2 linked regions of the Caenorhabditis elegans genome follow. The protein of the gene in region 1 interacts with the protein of each later gene in a pairwise test. Each region holds a gene or a part of one and is shown on either strand. Other genes may lie near its edges. The genes, in order: F33D4.6 and C06E4.2.

The links.
Region 2: the proteins of F33D4.6 (region 1) and C06E4.2 interact in a two-hybrid assay, tested with the Caenorhabditis elegans proteins (one large-scale study listed by BioGRID).

What each region holds. Positions count from the first base shown.
Region 1 is NC_003282.8:7,712,221-7,721,844, reverse strand, and holds F33D4.6 (aECM cysteine-cradle domain-containing protein), read left to right. Parts: upstream 1-3,828; 5' UTR 3,829-3,835; coding exon 3,836-4,228; intron 4,229-4,379; coding exon 4,380-4,477; intron 4,478-4,896; coding exon 4,897-5,049; intron 5,050-5,220; coding exon 5,221-5,286; intron 5,287-5,333; coding exon 5,334-5,451; intron 5,452-5,501; coding exon 5,502-5,552; intron 5,553-6,115; coding exon 6,116-6,376; coding exon of another isoform or gene 6,377-6,427; intron 6,428-6,461; coding exon 6,462-6,533; intron 6,534-6,697; coding exon 6,698-7,504; 3' UTR 7,505-7,675; downstream 7,676-9,624. Other genes in the region: pzls-1 (PEHE domain-containing protein), read left to right, coding at 1-180, 242-355, 1,069-1,212; Nuclear hormone receptor family member nhr-8, read right to left, coding at 7,676-7,844, 7,920-7,989, 8,037-8,507, 8,554-8,754, 8,958-9,165, 9,212-9,308.
Region 2 is NC_003282.8:7,272,069-7,281,692, forward strand, and holds the start of C06E4.2 (uncharacterized protein), read left to right. Parts: upstream 1-4,892; coding exon 4,893-4,917; intron 4,918-8,893; exon of another isoform or gene 8,894-9,035; intron 9,036-9,273; exon of another isoform or gene 9,274-9,453; intron 9,454-9,624.

The sequences.
Region 1 (9,624 bases):
AAGACTGATTTGGGAGACACAACTGTTCATTACAAATGGAAAGTTAAACGAAGATGTGATGGATCAAGATATATTGTCAAAAGACCAATTCGAAGTCAAATTTTGAAAAAAAGAGAAGCACAGGTGTATCGTGAACGAGCACCAATTTCAACCGATGATGATGCAATGAGCGAATTAAAGGTTTGTCACTGAAAAATATAAATTAATCTGCATTTCAAATAGCTTTACTGATTCTTTTCAGCTTGGAAGGTATCACACGAAGGAAGAAAGAAAAAGGATATTGGAAAGAGAGAACACGAAAAAAATGTTGAAGCTTCAGCAAAAAATGATGGAAAAGGCACATCCGTCGGAGCAGGTAATGTTGTTTTCTTTTGAAAGAAATAGGTTTGTGGTGTGCCCTCACAAAAGTTTATTTTTTAATGAGGAAATTATCAACAGAAGTGAATACAAAAAGATTAGGCTTCTAGGCAGACATTGAATCACTCTCAATCATTATAAAATCCTACAGAGCAAGCGCGAAGAATATAGGTCACAATTAACCGGCATACAGGCCGGATAGATCAAACTAAAGATCTTGTGTGCGCGGGACCACTTTAATAGATCGGAACGTCAATTGGTGTCAATTTAATATTTTCAAAATCTTTTCGAAAACACACATTCTTACCCGATATAACATTTTTAATGCAATTTCAGTTTCACAATTAAATAAAAAATTAATTCACAAGATACATTTTTAAATAGGACGACTTTGAGATGACCAATACTAAAAGTTTGGACCAAATTATTTCGGAGTTACATTGAGCATGAAAGATAGAAATTTTCAGAAAGATCTGTTGAAATCTTTTACTATTGAATTACACTATTGTCGTTTCAAAGTCAGGAGTAACGTGTTGAACATTTTTATTCAAGAAAATATTTCAAATTGATATTTTGACTTTCCATTGTCACACTTAAAAAAATACTTAGCCAACATTTTGGAACAATTGAATGAAAGGTTACAAATTTAAAAATAATCTTAGTTTCTTACATTTATTATTTTTCATCTTCTTGAAACAATATTTTTTCCAGGTAATATATCAAATGTCACAACAAAAGCTTGCTCGCCAAAAAGACGCAATGGTAATGGATGAATTTGTAACAACAAGAGAAGTACTTTCAAGTCGAACACGCCCAGATGGTATTCATGGAGTTGTTTCAGTCACAACCGTATAAACATTCATATTTTCTCATATCTTCTCGAAAAGCCTACTTCACAAAATTACGGATAAATTCTTATTTTAATTCACTGTTTCAAACAATTTTTAAAAGACACAACCAATCGGCAAAATAATTTCATGTGACCTCAAATTCGTCCCACCTTTCGAATATCTACGAATTTTTTTAAACTCGCTGGTTTTGTATGCCGACCTGAAACTGTCAATTTTTTTTGAGCACTAATGGTGAAAAATATCGAGAGCGAATTTTTAAAAGAATATTATGGAGTTGTGTTTATATGTTTACATTATCTTTTTTGTTAATCCTGCAGTCTAATACAAAAATAATTCAAATCAGAAGCGGGAATGATTTTGAAGTAGAACAAGTGGATTTAATAAGGATTGACCAATCTCCCCCACGTCTACAAACTTAAAACATTTTCTCCTCGAGGAGGTCTCCGCCGTTTTGTTTGGTCATTCAAGAAAGCGAGTTTTTTGATAGTGTATGTTCGTGGATCGGAACACTTGATAACAGAAAAAGAATGGATGAAAATGAAAATGGAAAAAGTCGTTAGTAGTTTATTTCTGTCAGATAGAAACTAAACAAATAAAAACGAAATGTAAAGTAGTAATGAAGTTAATTGTGAAACGGAAAAACCATGCAAATCAGGTAAATGAGATTAAAGTGACCATATAATTTTGAAGTAAATCCAAGAACGCTTTCTTTTTTTGGTGAAATTTTTGAATTTGGATTATTTTTTCTAACTCGTGTTATAAATAACTTTTATGACAAAAACGATTTGAAGTTTGATAGGCAAAAATATCTTCCTACAAAGTGAATCGTAAATTGACAGAATCTTTAGGTACAATGAACTAAAATTCCATATCTTACATTGCTACGAAATGAACATAAAATCTACACATGTGGTTCGCCATTTTTAAATACTTTTGAGCACTAATATTTTAGATGCGTTTTTCAAATAGCTAGTTTTCCTGCGGTGACACCAAAATTTCAGCAATATTTAGTAGAGACCTCGGGAGGTGACAATTTCAAAAATATAAAATATAAAAATAAAAAATTCTTGATAAGTATTGCCCTTATTACAAGTGTGATAACTACATTTCATAAGTACTTTTTAACTGCGAAACATCTGTATAAAATACAAAAATAAGCTACGATATTTGACAAAGGAATTCCCGAAAAAAGTGAGTTTTCATCGCCACAAATTTATTCATAATTCTCCGAGACCTGATCTTGAAAATTGCATTCGATTCCGACACGTTTTTACGTGAAGATAAATGTTTTGTTGGGTCATAAACGGAAATATCTATCTCCGTACCTTATCTATCACTTAATTTAGCAGCTAACATAGCATCTTTTTCTTTCTTTTTTTTAATAATTTTCACGCATCTTTCTCTATATCTCTTCTATCCAGAATGTGCGTATTCAAAAACTGGCTTGTTTGTTTCAAGCGGTGGCGTCGTCGATTCCGATTCTCGTATTTCCCTATCAGGCTTCTCCTCTCGATTCTTTGCCCCCCTAAAAGAGAACTTGATCGAGACCTCTTTTTGCGAATATTCTTCTGAGATCTTGTGTGCGTTTCTCTTTTTGTTGCTGTTTCTTCCTCCCGCCTCCTGTGCCTTCATAGAGTCAGTCACAATTGGTGATAATAAGATACATTTCATTGTGTTTGAAACTCCCAATTTCATTCTTCATTAGGTGATTCTCTTATGTAGATTTGAGCCTTTGACTCTGAACTTTTTTTTTTAATTTTTACCGTTGAAACGCTAGAAAGTGATAACCAATCACCATATCCGGTGTTTGTTTCAAAGTATTATTATTGTTCTTTAGAATTTGAATCTAGCACCCTAAAACGGACAGTAGAAAATTTTGAAAATTCCAACCTTTTTTGGTGATAAAATTGTCGCTTACTGTCGCTTACCTATGCTTTTTGTTAGGCTAGTTTACCAGGTCCATCTACGCCTCACGTCCAAGAGTTAAGATTGGACAAAGAAGGAGTATCAAAGAAAAGACGGCAGGTTACGTTAGGATTACTGTAGAAGTTTTTCTACTGCTATACAATTATCCAGTGTTGCAGAACTCCTTTCACACTTTTCTCTACGCATAATCGAAGATTTGCAAGCCCACATTAGCGCATGCAAGCAAGATTACATGCTTATCTAAAAACCGATCGGGCTAATAGAAACCGTCATTATTATATATAATATCTTGTTTCCGTTTTTCGTCACTTATGCCTCATGCATCAAATTCACTCTGAATAGAGTGTGGAAAAGATGGACGTTAGCATTTTCCTAATAGTTCTCCTTCTCTCACTTCTAATTACCAACTTTCTCTCGGTCCACACGTAATTTTTCTATTTATTTATGTACAGGTAGCTTGGTGAAAGGGGCGGGATGAAGTAGCCGACAGACATTCCCCCGGGTTGAACGCTTCATTTCCTTTTACTTTTGGATTCTTTCCGGGGCTTTCTGGCGTTCATTCTTCTTCATTACCCATTTCATTTGGTACTTTTTGTTTGAACATCTGAGAATTGATTCTTGATTTTTTTTTTCATTTTGTCCAAACTTCGTGGTTTTTTTTTTGTTTTTTAGGACTAATTAGAATTAAATGTATGTTTCAGATGAGACATCTCTTTGTATTATTGCCAGCTCTTCTGGCAATTACTAATGCTCAAGATCATTCAATTGACATTCGAGCACTTGTACGAGATACAATTGATGCAATCAAAGAAGTTCCAGAGATGATGAAGAATCAGAATCAAACATCCACAAGTTCTACGCCAGACGTATCCACTCCTCAACCAGAGAAAGTTGTCAAGGCTCGCGAAGATGTTTATGATTCCCTTTTGAAACTTCCTTCTGATATTATGTCTCAACTTGCAAGAGATGCAGGATTTGTTAGCGAGAAAGATCAGAAGATTCAGAAAAACGCTGAAGTATCAGAGAAAAAGAAAGAAGAGACCGAAAGAGTTGAAAAGAAGAAAGAAGATGACGAGTCGTTCAGCTTCAAGACGGTAAGTAAACATTGACAGACAAGGCAAAGTACATCCGGGAACATATCCAATTGGGTGTGAAAGTTCTTCGCAATCTGTCATTCAAAAAAGTTATTGCTTTCACTTTCAAAGCATGCTAACTAAAATTGTTGAAACAAAACAAGCATTACAGGTAGATGACGTTAAAAAAGAAGAAAGAAAAGAAGAAATTGAACGTCCATCTGTTGCAGCAAAAGCTGATGATAATGAGGATATCTTCTCCATCTCAAGGTAAACTTTCAAGTTGAAGGTAACCTTAACTGTATGGCTTTGCATTCAAAATATTTTAATTGCATGTTTTTTTGCAAGATCAATAATAAGTGCTGGCAAAAATAGATAGATAACTGAAAAACTAGAAGTGTTAGAAAAACAAAATGCTGAAAAAATACATTTTCTTTAAACATAGTTGAACTTTTTTGCAAGCATTTATAGAGGTGTCGGAGTTTTCCTGCACTGCAATTTTAACTAATTATACTGATTTGAAAACCATTTTTAAATGTATATATTTTTCTTATTATTTTAGCTCTTCAAATATATATTTTGGGAACAAACCGTTTCCTGTAAAAACTCAAAACGAATTGAAAGTAGTCTTGTTTGGAAATTTGCATTGAACTCTACTAGTAACTAACTACAATAACCATCCATTCCAGACTTATATCAGCTACTGGAAATGCAATCAGAGAAGCACAGGCTGCTCAAGCTGCTCAGAAGCCGCAACAGACTCCACAACAGGAACCAATGATCACCTTGCCACCTCTTGTTCCATTGCCACCAGTACCACTTCAAATGCCCGCTCTTCACATGTAAGACAGCTAAATGTCATTTTGACTTCATCTTTTTCATGTTCTTGACGTTTGACACTCACTAACCAGCTAAACCGGTTTAAAAAGGGGGAAGTGAAAATGTCGGGTGGCGTTGGTCAAAGAAGAAGCTAAGAAACAAGGGTTTGTGAGTGACCGTTTGTCATATTTCAGACCAACAACTGCCGCTCAACCAGTCACTGAAATCATGTATCGTCCGGTAACCAGAGACGGAAAGACGTGAGTATTGAAAGCACACTGCTTGTCAAAAATGTTTTGTCTTTTAGTGTCTACGAACAGGTTGTTGTTTTGAAAGAAGCGAACGGATCAGTCAAAATTCTTCCAAACACCTTGCTTCAACAGTTACCTGAAGTTTCGACAAAGAGAGTAGAGATTAAACAAGTGGTTCGTCGGGCTTTGTATAATTGAATTATCGCGTTACCAATTTTTTTTAGAAATCCCGGTCTGAGGCTACTGAATTCTTGGCCCCAACATTCCCTCCAATGGTAAGTTAATATTTTTCATGAATTTCAATACTTTTGTTTTACTACATATTTGGAAAACGTTTTATCAGTATCACTTCAAAGCACGAATGACCAGGACTGCGCAGCAACAGTGTGCATGTTCTCCGTTATTTTACATTAAATTTCGAAGTTGTAATATAGAGAAATATTTACTTTATCTGAAAATGCGTTTTGTTTGATTTGGGACTGATTTGGACTGAGAAAGTGCTCAAAAATTATCTGAAAGTTGAAATTATCTGGGGGAACATTACCGAAAAATTGTTCGGCAATTTTCACCAGCAATTTTGAACTCATACGATTTTTGATTATTTTTCCAATTTATTCAAATAAAATGGTAGTTATTTTTCAATAAAGTAAATAATTGTCTATACTTTATCATTAAATTTATTGACAAATATCGGGGAACAAGTCCCACTGTCTTATTTTGTAGAAGTGCTGAAGTGGCTCCATAAATGCATCCAAGAAACTGAAAAATGAAAGTAAAAATTTGAAAAAAAAACCCACACAAAAACTACAAAGTATAGTTTCAATTCCATTATTTTCAGATCAACTTGTTCACTGATCCAACAACCACTACCACTCCAACCACTACCGAAGAACCAGAAGTCACGACAATTGAAGAAGTTGAGCAAGAGACAATTAAACCAAAACGCAAGTCCCTTCCAAGACGAAAGATTCATTATCTTGAAAAAAAGGGAAAAGACATGCATTCTCGTCAATTTGGAGCAAAAACTGTTCAGATGAGTGATCCAATCGATATTCAAGCACAGGAGGAACAGGAACCAGTCAATATTCTTCAAAAAGAGGTAAGTCTTATTTATTCTCTCTCTCTTCTTGGTATACTCTGTTCATTCTAATCAATCACATTTGCTAATCTAACACTTGTCTCAGGGAAGCATTCGTGTGTACAGCATCAATCGTAAAAGAAAGATTCGCAAACCACGTGTCGTCAAAGTTGAAGAAGTAACTTTTTGTTTTATGCACTTTTAGATGCCTTCGGATAAGTTAATTTTGGGGGCCTTTTTAATTTGCACTCAATTGCTGTCAGCACGTTAGCTGCAAATTCAACTAATAACTCATTTGGGAATATCTTTTTAGTTTAAAAATCCTCATTTTTATCATTTCAGAATGAAAAGGTTGAAGAGAAACCAGTTGAGGAGGAAGAAGAAGCAACGACTGAACCACCAAAGAAGAAGAGAAAGATGAGAAAGAGTCACAAAACATCAAAGAAAGAAAAGAAAGAGATCCGCAAGTTCCCAGATCTTTATGACGAGCAATGGAAGACCCAAGTGGCTCCAAGTGTTTCCCCACCATCCGAAGAGTTTGCTGAGCAATTCGATGGAGTTGATGAGGTTCAAGAGAGCCCAAAAAGACAGGAAACAACCCAACAAGAAGTTCAAAATGATACTCCAATGAATGATGCTATCGAACAGAGAAGCAGCAAGGTTCAGATGTTGACAAAAGAGCAGGAAGAAGAACTTTTGAATAAGGAGGTTAGAAAGAGAGTTATGAAGAGAATTCGTCTCTCAAAAATGAAGACTACAACCACAACAACTACTACTGAAGCTCCAACAACTACACCAGAAGAAGAAGAGGAAGAAGTTGTGACAGCTGCCGTGGAACAGGAAGAGGAAGATGATGTTATTGAAGCAGAAGAGTTAGTTGAAGATGAAGAAGAAGATGTAACAACCACCACCACCACTGAAGCTCCAGTTACACGTGCTCAACGTGTCAAGAAAAACAAAAAGAGAGCTGTTGTGACAAAGCATCAATGCTTGAACCTTCGTAGCTTCGCACGTCAATTCTTGTTTGATACCGTTGAAGAGTTCGCAAAAGAGCACTGTTACTTTATTGAGAACTATTATCCAGCACTAACATGTGCTCGTTCTCATGCTTATGTTGCCAAGTGCCAAAAGTGGTTGAAAGAGGAGTAATTAATTAATACCTTTATATTAATTTTTATTTTGATTTCGATCCAGATCTACGTGTATTTGTTTGTAATATTTTCTCCATCTTTCTGCCCTTGACTTTTGTGCAATTTTCTCAAAAACTTTCTCATGTTAATAAGTGTGCAATATGTGCAATAATTCATGGTTAATAAATGGTTATTCAAAAGAACATAATTCTCGTATCAGAGGATCCAATTGAGCAATATCTAGTCCATAAAACACACGAAGTAAGGTCCTATTCACACGATGAAGCTCGACGACTTGATTCAGAAGATTACTGTATGCAATGTCAGCACGTGATTTACCATATTCAAATGTAAGAAGTCTGAAAGTAGGACAATATTAAAAATGTTATAATCAAAAAGTTATACAATACGTGCTTTTCTCGTACAGTACTTACTTCAAGAGCATCTGGAAATATTTTGCTTGTGTTGAGTGCACTCGTTTACTATCACGTAAGTTGGAGACATCTGAATTAATAACTTTAAAACGAATCAATTTTGAAAAACTGGCTCACGAGGATGAAATATAACAGCTGCATTGAAAATGAGCATCAAATGTTCATTATTCCTCACATCTTCTCCAAACGTTGAAAGCAAGTTCATGTGTGCTTTGTAATGTTCTTCAAGTTTTGGATTCTTAAGAACTTCCACCTTTACCTCCATTTTTCCTCGTACTCCAAATGAATGATTCCAGCTGTTATCACTCTTGTCATAGGCCATAAGACCCCGCACAATCAACAACTCCCCAAATCCACTTTTCAAGAGATTTTTCCTATCGTCCACGTGAAGCTCTCGGAATAGACTTAATTGGCATGCCATGTTAACAATCCTTCGTAGAGCTTCTTCTATTATTCTAAAAACTCCATCAATGCTTTTCGGATTGTGCCATTGAATTAGTGGAGCATTTAATGGCTCATTTTGTACATGAAGTTCTTCTAAAAGAGTTATCTCGTCTTCATTCAAAACTCCAATGTATTTGTCAATCTCTGAAAAGTTGCAAAATTCAAACTTATGGATGACATGAAACAGTACTTGAATGAATTTGTTCTAGCAAATTTGGAGGTAGAGTTTCAGTTACTGGAACTGTGGACACTGCTTGAATTGGAGTCCATGTTCTTTCAGGCATTGGAGGAAAATTCAAAAAGTTGGCTGGCGCAGCCATTTGGGCCATAACACCAAATTGAAATGGTGATAACATTGGAGGATATTGCGATGGCATTTGTGGAGACAGTTCTAAATTTTAGACGTATATTCTTTACTTCAGTACGTATTAATAAAAGTGTTTTCTTGTCGGCTCGGAAGGCGGACGTAACTCTTCTGCCTACTTTGAATTCGTAGTGATAGCCTTCTAGATGAGTTATGTCTGGCTTGTTGTCAAACATTTTTGACAGTGAGGTTCTAGCGTTCAGCTTCACGAGCTGCTCCTAAAAACATACCAGTTATTGAGCTCGGTATAGACGCCGGAGAAACTGTGTAGTTGGTTGGAGATTGAGTAACAAGTTGAGAAGTATTGTAACCACTGGAATCATGTGAAGATGGAGCACAACTGATAACCGACATTGGAGAAAGAGTTGAAGTAGATGAAGAATAAAACGAATCCGAATGATGAAGATGATGGGAGAATGATATATCTTGTGGACTGTTCTGAATATAAAATAATTGATTTTCTTGTATTTTAAACTCTACTAACCACAGCTGTTGTATCCTTTGGTTCGTATGCGGTGAGTCTTTGAGTAATTGGATAGAATCCACACTGGCATTTGCATGTACATCTGTCTTTTGATTTTCTGAAAGTTCAATGTACGATTGTCTGTTACTAGAGTGACGTAGTTTTGTGGTCTTGTGTGATCTACTGATTAGATAATTGTACTTTCTCATACGGTACATATCACAGGTTATCGAGAGACCACTTTAATTAAATAGATTCAATTGAATAAATGTGAGAACGTGCTAAGGCTGCCATGGTAGGCACTTCTTCATGCCTACATACGTGCGCGGCTACTGTTTTTGCATTCTGGGGTAAAGGCGTTTTTTTGTTATTTTCCCGTTATATTATAGTAAATTTGTTGAAACAGTAGTTTATTATTTCCGGATAATTTCATT
Region 2 (9,624 bases), 440 kb from region 1:
CTAGTAAAACTGTGAATTCTAAAATCTCCGATATAGGTTGATTTAAAATTATTGTTTTATACTTTTAGAGAAATAAAATTACTGTTTCATATTAACTAAATAATCAAATCACCTAGAACAGTTCATTGTCAACTTTTCAATAACTTTGGCTTCCTTTTCTTAACTCTTAGTGAATAAAATATTTAAGAAAAATGAATAAAAAATCAAATTCAAGCATGATTTATTAGCTTAAAACAAAATTTGTTGAAATAAATCAGAGAACTTCCGCGTATACGGACGTTAATCTTTCATGAATACAGATGAACTGGAAACAAATTTGGAAAAAAAAGAAGAATAGACGAAATCACTTATTAATTCTGATTTGATGTTTTTTTTTCAATCTCAAATGACGATTTCAGAAAAGTGATCAGTGAAACACTGTTTGGAGGATTTTCTCAACGAAAAAAAGCCAAATTCCTTACAAGCGTTTACTGTTAGCTACCATTTTTAACCAGGAATACTGATCGCTTGCAGGAAATTTTTTCTATATTTCTAGAAGAGTAAAAAATGAAAAAAAAAACTAGAAAGCCCAAGAAAGTTAGATATAAAATAGTAAAAATTCCAAAATTCTAAACATAAGCTATAATCGAGACTTTGAAAAGCAGAAAAAATTGGAACGTGATCTGACTGAAACGCATTTGGAAATTTGAAGAAAGTCTAATAGTTCTCTGAACTTAGGCCTTAATGAAAATTGAAAAGTCATGTCTTGCCGTTGTACTCTCAGGAATCTCATCTCCGTTTCTTCGACTTCTTCTTCGTTTAAAATTTCGTCATTTCTGGTCATTCTCCGCCCTCCGGACGCTGTTAAATGAATTTTCGGAGGCCGTCTGTGCTCCAAGCTCGACTTGAGGATGACCCGATTTTATATCTATTTTTCCCTATTTTATTTGGGATGGGATGTTCTTTCCAAAATGACATTGAATCACGCAAGTGAATTCTCTAAAAGTTATAGAAACAAAAACATTTGAATTGAACAAGACGGAAATAAGAAGAAGAGCAAATATTTTGGGATATACATATTCAAAAAGAAAAGGAAACTTTCGCGTTCCAGGTCGAATTTCAAATTCCCTCGAGGACAGGAAGCAGGAGGCGATTTGTCAGATGAGATTATATTGAAAAAGTGGGGAAAATGTTGTTGTTTCCGACTGAAATGGATGGCGGATCTTATTTTTGTGAACTATGAGGATGTTCAGAGAACAGCCAACACAACATAAAAACCTAGGAGTTCCTAAAAATGAGGTTACTGGAAAAGAAGCTTCAAAATGGCACATAGTTTCATTTTCCAATAGAATAGTTGTTTTTGAGAGTTAATACTGGGAATCTTTACACTGAAACTCGATAAGTATGCATTTGCATTCTGAACGAAAGGTGTAAAAAACATAAAGAAAAAACCTATAACTCTTCAAAACTCGGCAGTTTTATTTTTATTCTTTGGCTTGAATTTTTTTTTGAAGCACCATAACGCTTCACACAAGGAAACCAATAAGGGCAATAAGGCCGCGGAGGCGCCTCCACGCTTTGACCGGACAGAGCGTCTATGAGTACATTTTGAGGAAATATCTATACATAGCATACTACGTAAGTACCTCTTACTGTAAAATCTTTAAAATGTTGCCTAAGCTCAAAAATCTTAGGAAGGACATAGATTCAAAACATTTTTCCACAGTTGCTAAGCTTTTATATACGTATCTTCTTTAGAGAGTTAATAAACAATTCTTAGGAAAGTCTAAATTTCAGACATAAAAACAAGATTCGAATTTATTCGAATGTTTTTTATTTCAAAAAATCACAGAAAAAAGACAGTTCGATAGCAAGAAAACATTCGGAGAATTTTTTTTTCGAGACTCTAGAATTGATTCATAGAAATAATTACCAAAAATGAGAATTCGTTTATTTCGATTGCCCAATTTATTTTCAAAAAAAAACGGCATGTGGCGATCTTCTGACAGCTGTTGTTTTCGAAAAAATTCAGAAAAAATCAATTGCAACTAATTTCATATTTCTTGTAGTTTTTCTCGAGTAGAGTTACACACTGAAACCATTCGTCACAAAGAATAGTTGTCTGGAACTAGCCAGGTGTTTTCAATAAAGCAATCATACTCTATACAAAAAAGTAGTTTGATGAGAGACAATAGTAACCAAAAATAAGTGAATGGCGCGAACGGACAATCTCAAGTATCTTCATCCGTTCTTTAAAATATATATTTGATTTATTGACAAAAGGATTTTATTTCATTGTTGAACGTACAAAAACGAAGATATAAATTTTCAATAAATCATATCCTAAACGGCTGAAACGGTTTCAAAACATTTTAATGTTACCTGGAAGAAAAAAAAAGCTAACAAATATTTTTAAAATTTAGCTTGGCGACAATGAAAGACAAATATTTATCGGATCCTGCTTGAAAGTGGGTCTAAAATATTACAAATCAATGGTTCCGATTTTTTAAAACTATTACTGGTATACCAGAATTATTTTATATTTGAAATGCTTCGTTTTCCTAATAAACTTTTTTTTTTACAAAATTACTTACAACTTTTGGAATTTTGTTGTTCGAAGAGTTCTTGTGTGTTCAAATTAAAAATCGTAGTTTTTTTAAAATAAAAACAGCTTCTTTTGTTTTTGGTTTTTTCAGATTTTTTAAAAGTTTATGTCGCGACACTGCTAGTTCCGAATCAAAAATAATACCGGACATCTAATTTATTTGTTTATTATATGGTTTTCTTTCAAATTTCTTGTTATTTCAGAACAAAAAAAGACACTAAACTGCAATGTAAAAGTGGAGAAGCGGATGTGATATTTGAAAGAAAGAAATCATTTATAAATTTTGATTTCTAATCTTTATATTCATAGTAGAGATTTATATTTGAGGAGTATGATTCAATTCATCTTTGTTCTTCATTTCTTTATTCCTTTTTCAACAAAAATTGAAACAGGAAGTTGATATTTATAGATTCTTTCATATCGTTTGAGCATATTTTTCTCTCAAATCTTGAGTTGGCGGACGGGGGGAACCTCGTTATGCGATTTCGGAAGACATTTCGAAACAAATTCCAACGGAAAACGGATGACAAGTAACTCAATTTGGCAGATTTCTCCACCAGGTTGCCACTCTTCTCCTCCTTTCCTCACATGTTTGTACATTACGCTTTTCTTGTCATTATATTGATGTTTCCGATAAAATCACTAGACCGCTTTATTGACACGGCGCTTTTACCGGTTCCATGGTGTAGCGGTTAGCACTCAGGACTTTGAATCCTGCGACCCGAGTTCAAATCTCGGTGGAACCTATCGTTTTTTGCACTTTAACTTCTCACGAAACAAATAGGTTAATTGATACTTTTTAGATTTTTACAAAAACAATTCCTTGTGTCTAGTGACCTTATCACTTGATGCATCAACCAGTTAATAAAGCCCATTAACAGTCAGGTTTCTCATACACAAATCACTAAACCACGTCGTAAAATAAAAATGAAGAAGACTAATAGCATAATAAATTGTACCAGGCAGTCGGTCAGCTCCCGATTTCAATATATAAGTGTCATTTGCAGATGAATAGTTGTCTTTTATTTTTCATTTCAAGACCATCGGCCACACACACACATATTTCTTTCTTTTTTTGAAATTCTAACCCGACACTTTTCCACACGCGTATCAGATTTCACGAACGAAGAGCACCACTTTCATGCCATTGACCGGTCTTGAAAAATCCGGTGGATCCCATCATAGTCTACAACTTTATATTATTGTTTTCTAGCCACTTTTTCGTGTCTGTATCCGGAACCGAAGTGCATCAAAAGGCTGTCAGAAAGCCGTCTCATTTGACATTCATACCCATAACATGTAATGGGTTTTCCCCGTTTTTTATGTTATGATGGAGTGATGATGTTGACAAAAGCGACTCGGTTTTCAGCAGGTAGTGCAACAAAACGTTCTGAATCATGCCATTTCTCATGTTAGGAGAAGCAGATTTTGACATAGATCTAATACTTGACACACTTTTGAGCTTCAAATATCGTAAAACAGTCACACAAACTTTGTTTTGAATTTAGGAAATAATTGTAAGTTTTTAAATTCAGTTTCCTAAGCCCCATTTAGTCTCCAATATTGTTTATTTTTTCAGATATGTGAACTTAGAACCTGGAAAAATGAGCACCAAAAACTTTAACGTAAATATGCAAGTCGTTTTGAAACCCGGGCTAAACTTTTACAAAAATACAGTGCAGGCTTCAGTATGAGAAAAATGCTCCAATATGAACATAATCCCGTATTGTTTCTCTCATATTCCCGACCTCTTGAAACAGGAAGTTGCACACTCGAATGAAGTGTATTATGATGTTGATGGTATTTGGTAGTGGGAAGTAAAAGTAGTATGCACTTCCCATCCACTTACCTGTTCCTTTTCTACATTATTGTGTTTTCCGGTCAAGTTTGATTTGTATTTACACATACATACATAATTCATGAACACCACTAGCAAATCTCTGTTCAGGTTATATCAAAGAGTTATTGGTTTGGGTATAACTGCATGTTCTACTTCTTCCTCACTCAAATGTCCTTGATTTATTGTGTTCCGCTTGTTTTTTGAGAAACTGTCGTATGTGTGTCTGTTGTGTTTCAGTTTGAACTGGAACCAGTTACAAATGAAATCCCACTGAGATCTCATCATGCCATTCCTTATGTTTTTCTTTCCCATTACTTGGGGCTTTTGGAAAAGTAAAACCAAAAGTTTTCGCACTTTCTCCCTCACTGACTTCTTTTTTTTTTTGGACAAAAAGTTCCTACCTTCATTATATATTCACATCTGCCAAGTTCCAAATTCACTTTTCTCTAATCTCCATTTTGGGAGAATATGTTTTTGAAAATGACAGAGCCTGGTAAGTAGTGTTCTATGAATAGGTTGACTATCAGTTTTAAGAAAGAAAATGTTCACAACGTCCAAATTTAGGTTATTAGAAAAATAAAGCACATACAGAAAAGAATGCTAATTGTCTTTACTTTTCTTTTTTTCGCTAGCCTGGGAATGAATAGTTTGATCTACTGTGTATAAACAACAAGCAAACATCTTATGATTTGAAACATTGAATTTTAAACCCAAAAATTCAGTTAGAGCTTGTGGAAAATAGAACATTCCACTAAACTACATACAGTGCGTACAAGTTCTATACGCCACCCCCCCCCCCCCAAAATATGCCCTGTGGCCACGTGTGTCAGTTTTGGTAAAAATCTGCTAATGCCATTCGATTCCAAATCTCAAAAAACCTACTGACATTTTTTTACAGAGTGATAGCTTCAAAATTGAAGTTACTAGGTCAAAAAAACGCAAAAAAGGCCGTACAACTTCTATACGCCACCCTGAGATTTTTGTTGAAAATCAGTGATATTGCCAAATTATCAATAACTGTTACCGTATTTTCTAACCTAACACAAAACAAATTACAGAATTATTTAAACAGAACCTACAACTTTGGCAGTTATAGTATGAAATGTAAGCATTCTCCTTTAGCACTGAAAAAAATTTCAGAATTTTTGGAGGGCTGGAACGTGAGATAAGGGCGCCATCAGTGGCCGGCTCCCAAAGTTGGCTTACAGGACCAAAAAAAATTATAAAAATTCTGTGACGTGAAAATCTTATGAGAATAGTTGAAATATACACGGGTACTCGAAAATTGGAGAACAATTAAAAAAGTTGGTCCTGAAAAGGTTGATAATTTGGCAATATCACTGATTTTCAACAAAAATCTCAGGGTGGCGTATAGAAGTTGTACGGCCTTTTTTGCGTTTTTTGACCTAGTAACTTCAATTTTGAAGCTATCACTCTGTAAAAAAATGTCAGTAGGTTTTTTGAGGTTTGGAATCGAATGGCATTAGCAGATTTTTACCAAAACTGACACACGTGGCCACAGGGCATATTTTGGGGGGGGGGGGGGGGGGGGGTGCCGTATAGAACTTGTACGCACTGTATGTAGTTTAGTGGAATGTTCTATTTTCCACAAGCTCTAACTGAATTTTTGGGTTTAAAATTCAATGTTTCAAATCATAAGATGTTTGCTTGTTGTTTATACACAGTAGATCAAACTATTCATTCCCAGGCTAGCGAAAAAAAGAAAAGTAAAGACAATTAGCATTCTTTTCTGTATCTTGCAAATAATTATTGATTTTAAACCCGTTTGTTTTTGTGAAGGCAGAAGGTAGATATGTATTTCTCGTATGAGCTCGCGTTCAATTTTTAATTGATATGTGAATGCACAAAAATGTGGTTCAAACTCATCACTCAAAGTTCACACTTTCAAAAACTGGTTCAGACTTTTTTTGTTGATTTTAATATTGTGTTACTTGAAAATTTATTAGGATGAACCTCCAACGACCAAACTTGTTAGTTTGTTGTCTGACTTCATTTTTTATTCAGTAGCTGGTCACTTTTGAAAGCATTTTGAATTATTCAAACCTAATTTGTTCTATCAAGATCACGCTAGGTGAATGTAAACTTGAGTGTTTGAATGGCAAATAAATATTTTTCTGTAGAGATCGTGTAATATTATTATTCACACGAAATACAAACCTTCTACCCGTTCCGTTTGCAAGAAGCTAGCATTCACAATTAAGTAAAACTATTTATTTACATTTAAACCAACCTTCTGACATCTGTTCTCTGGCGAATTGTTTGGATTTCGGATTACTGAACGAGAGTGTTTAGCTAAGCCATTAAATTGAGAAACTGGAAATGGTTATCTAGAATGCCTAAAGATTTTTTGCAAGTTTTAAACTCTAGGTAATACCATCTGGAATTTTTCGAATTTTTGCGGCTACGTGTACTTTGGTACCGTTCCCTCGAGATACTACATAAACATTTGACACTTTCGCCTACTCATTTTCTCCATTCACTTTCCAATATCGTTTCTTCGATCTTCGGCTCTTGCGATCTTCTTCACTTTCTTATGGTAATCGAATGCTATATGTGTAATACGAACCCAGTCACCTTCTTTCATACATACATACCAAAATGAATATATATCTCGGTGATCAAACAGTTTTCTTCTTTTGTTTGCACCTTTTTGGCCACTTGCTGTCACTTAGCCAACACACGTCAAATTGGTTGTTGTTGCTCCGTGGGATTGGTTTTGTAGTGACCCTCCCGTTATCATTAAGCTTTTTCCTTATCATTTAGTATTTTAGCCATAGATTTTTTTTCAAATTTTTAATTTTCTAGTTTTCAAGTTCCTAAAAAATTTCAGGATTTGAGAAAAAACTGAAGAGCCCCTTGTTTTTGTCAGACACATTCTTCCAACAAAAAATTCTAGATTTTCCAATTCTTAACGACTTGTTTACGTTTTCTTTCCGCGAAATATTTTATTTTTACTTGCTTCATGACATGAATTTTCAATGTAAAAATTATATGAATTCTTTCCATGAAAGGGTGTTCAAACGCCTATTGAACATTTGTTTGATACCCCTACGGGTCAAATGAGTTTACACTTGCCCTTTCATCGGATTCTTTAGTTACCCTTTTTACCTTTACAACGGTTAGGGTCACCCACCACCACTGCCTTCGTCCCCTTCCTCTATTACACGCTCTTTCAATTTGGAACCCAACAACCACTGTCCGGCGGCGCCAATTATCGCTCGAGTTGCAACCAACCGGGTGTCATTTTCTCTGGTAATGACTGACATAGGATGACTGAAGAAGAGAAAGAGAGTGAAATCCTCGATTACTTTGCGTTGAGGTTGTGACCTTTTGCGAAACGGAAATGTTGAATTTTGTGAAAGATGTTGACATGAAAATTGACATCAAACAAGTTTCAATGTTCTAACTGTACTAGTTTTTGATTTACTGCTTTATTAGTATTTAGTGCCAACTATTTTTTAACTAATATCTCTCTCTCTCTCTCTCTCTCTCTCTCTCTCTCTCTCTCTCTCTCTCTCAACAAAATTTTATCATTGAAATATCAGTACGAGGTTTCTTATCGATTTGTTAGAAGATATCCTATATAAACATGTACCTATTACTCTACGAAACCATTTTGTATGAACGATTGTGGAATCATCATTTACTATATATAAAGCGCTTATTCCGTTTGTCCATAGTTTGTAGTCTGTGTAGTCTTTGTAGTCTGCGAAGTTTTAGCTTCTGGAGGGATAGTGAGTTGGGGTTAGTGTAGGGATATAGTCGGGGTACTGTAGTGGTACAATGGTGGTACGGTAGGAGTACTGCATGATTACGGTAGTTTCAGAAAAATTGGTTTTCAGCTCCAGAAGTCGGGGGCACGGCTGGTATATATATATATTTTTTTTTTTTTAAAGAAGCTATTTTCTCATAGGATAAAGATTATCTTGAGATTAAACTTCTAGGAAACTGGCTAAATTTTAATCTATATTTTCCAAATTTTTATTAGATAAGTTTCTGAATCATTTAAAGTAGTCATTTAAAAAATATTAAAATAAGTTTGAGAAAAAAACAAAAAATCAAAAGTTCTTAACTTTTGAATACATGTGATAAGATAAAATTCGCGAATCTCAACTTTTCAAAAAAAAAATTAATGGAAAATTTGAAGTTAGTTTCAGCCAGTAAGAGGTCACTCTGAAACCGCCAACACATAATTGGTACAAGACAGAAACATAGAAGAAGTATAAATTAAAATTCCCTGACCGCAGTGACTTCTTGGTCACTGAGATCTACCAATTTGAAAGTTTTTCGAGCTACTTTTAATGTTCCAAATGCATATGTGTCCATTTCTCCTTTTACCGTATAAATAATAACACGTTTTTCATCATCTTCTTTTTTTGCAATGCATCTTTCTCGTTTTTTCACCAACATCTCCCCCTACCTACCTATTACTGTGTGGCGGCCATTTTCCACAAGCCATCCCAACCATTCTCATCGCCCACTAAAGTTTTGAGGGTTTTTCGTTTTAAATTGGCGGCTTGACTTTTCTCCCCCCACGCATGCATCTCAATCCCACAATCCGCTCCTGTTTTTACTACAAATCCGGTAGACACACACACAGATCCACGTGCAGTAATGAAAAAGAAAGATTCTGTTTTTCCAACAATTTATAAATTCTCATCCCACTTTTCTACGCTCTTGTAAATACGTATGCCAACTCGACCAGGCATCACCACATGAGAAAACGAGAGACTGTTTGCTCAAATGTTGATCTTATACTCTTGTTATACAGTCTTACGGCCCAAGAACTCTTTTTTTTCTCGATAAAAGACGAGATTTTTCAAGTTATTTTTGATGTAGTAACCAATTCCAATGTCTACCCAACCAATATCGAAACGAGCTTGAAGTCTGAAGAACTAGTTATCGTTAAACCGTAAATTGATGTATACTAGAACTGAAATGCAACATCAAACGGTTGAAACTACGGAGCCACTGAACGTAGCGAAGCCGAGTATATGAGGAAGTCTTGGTATGTCGTTGAATTGATATTCCATATTGTTGAGGCGTAACGGGAGCCTTTTACTTGCCCCACGCACTCTACCAGCCTCCCTTTTGTACAATTTTGAGTATTTTATTTTAAAAAAATATTTCAGCTCTCTTTAAAAACGATTCGAAGTAGTGAAACTCAAAAACAAAATTA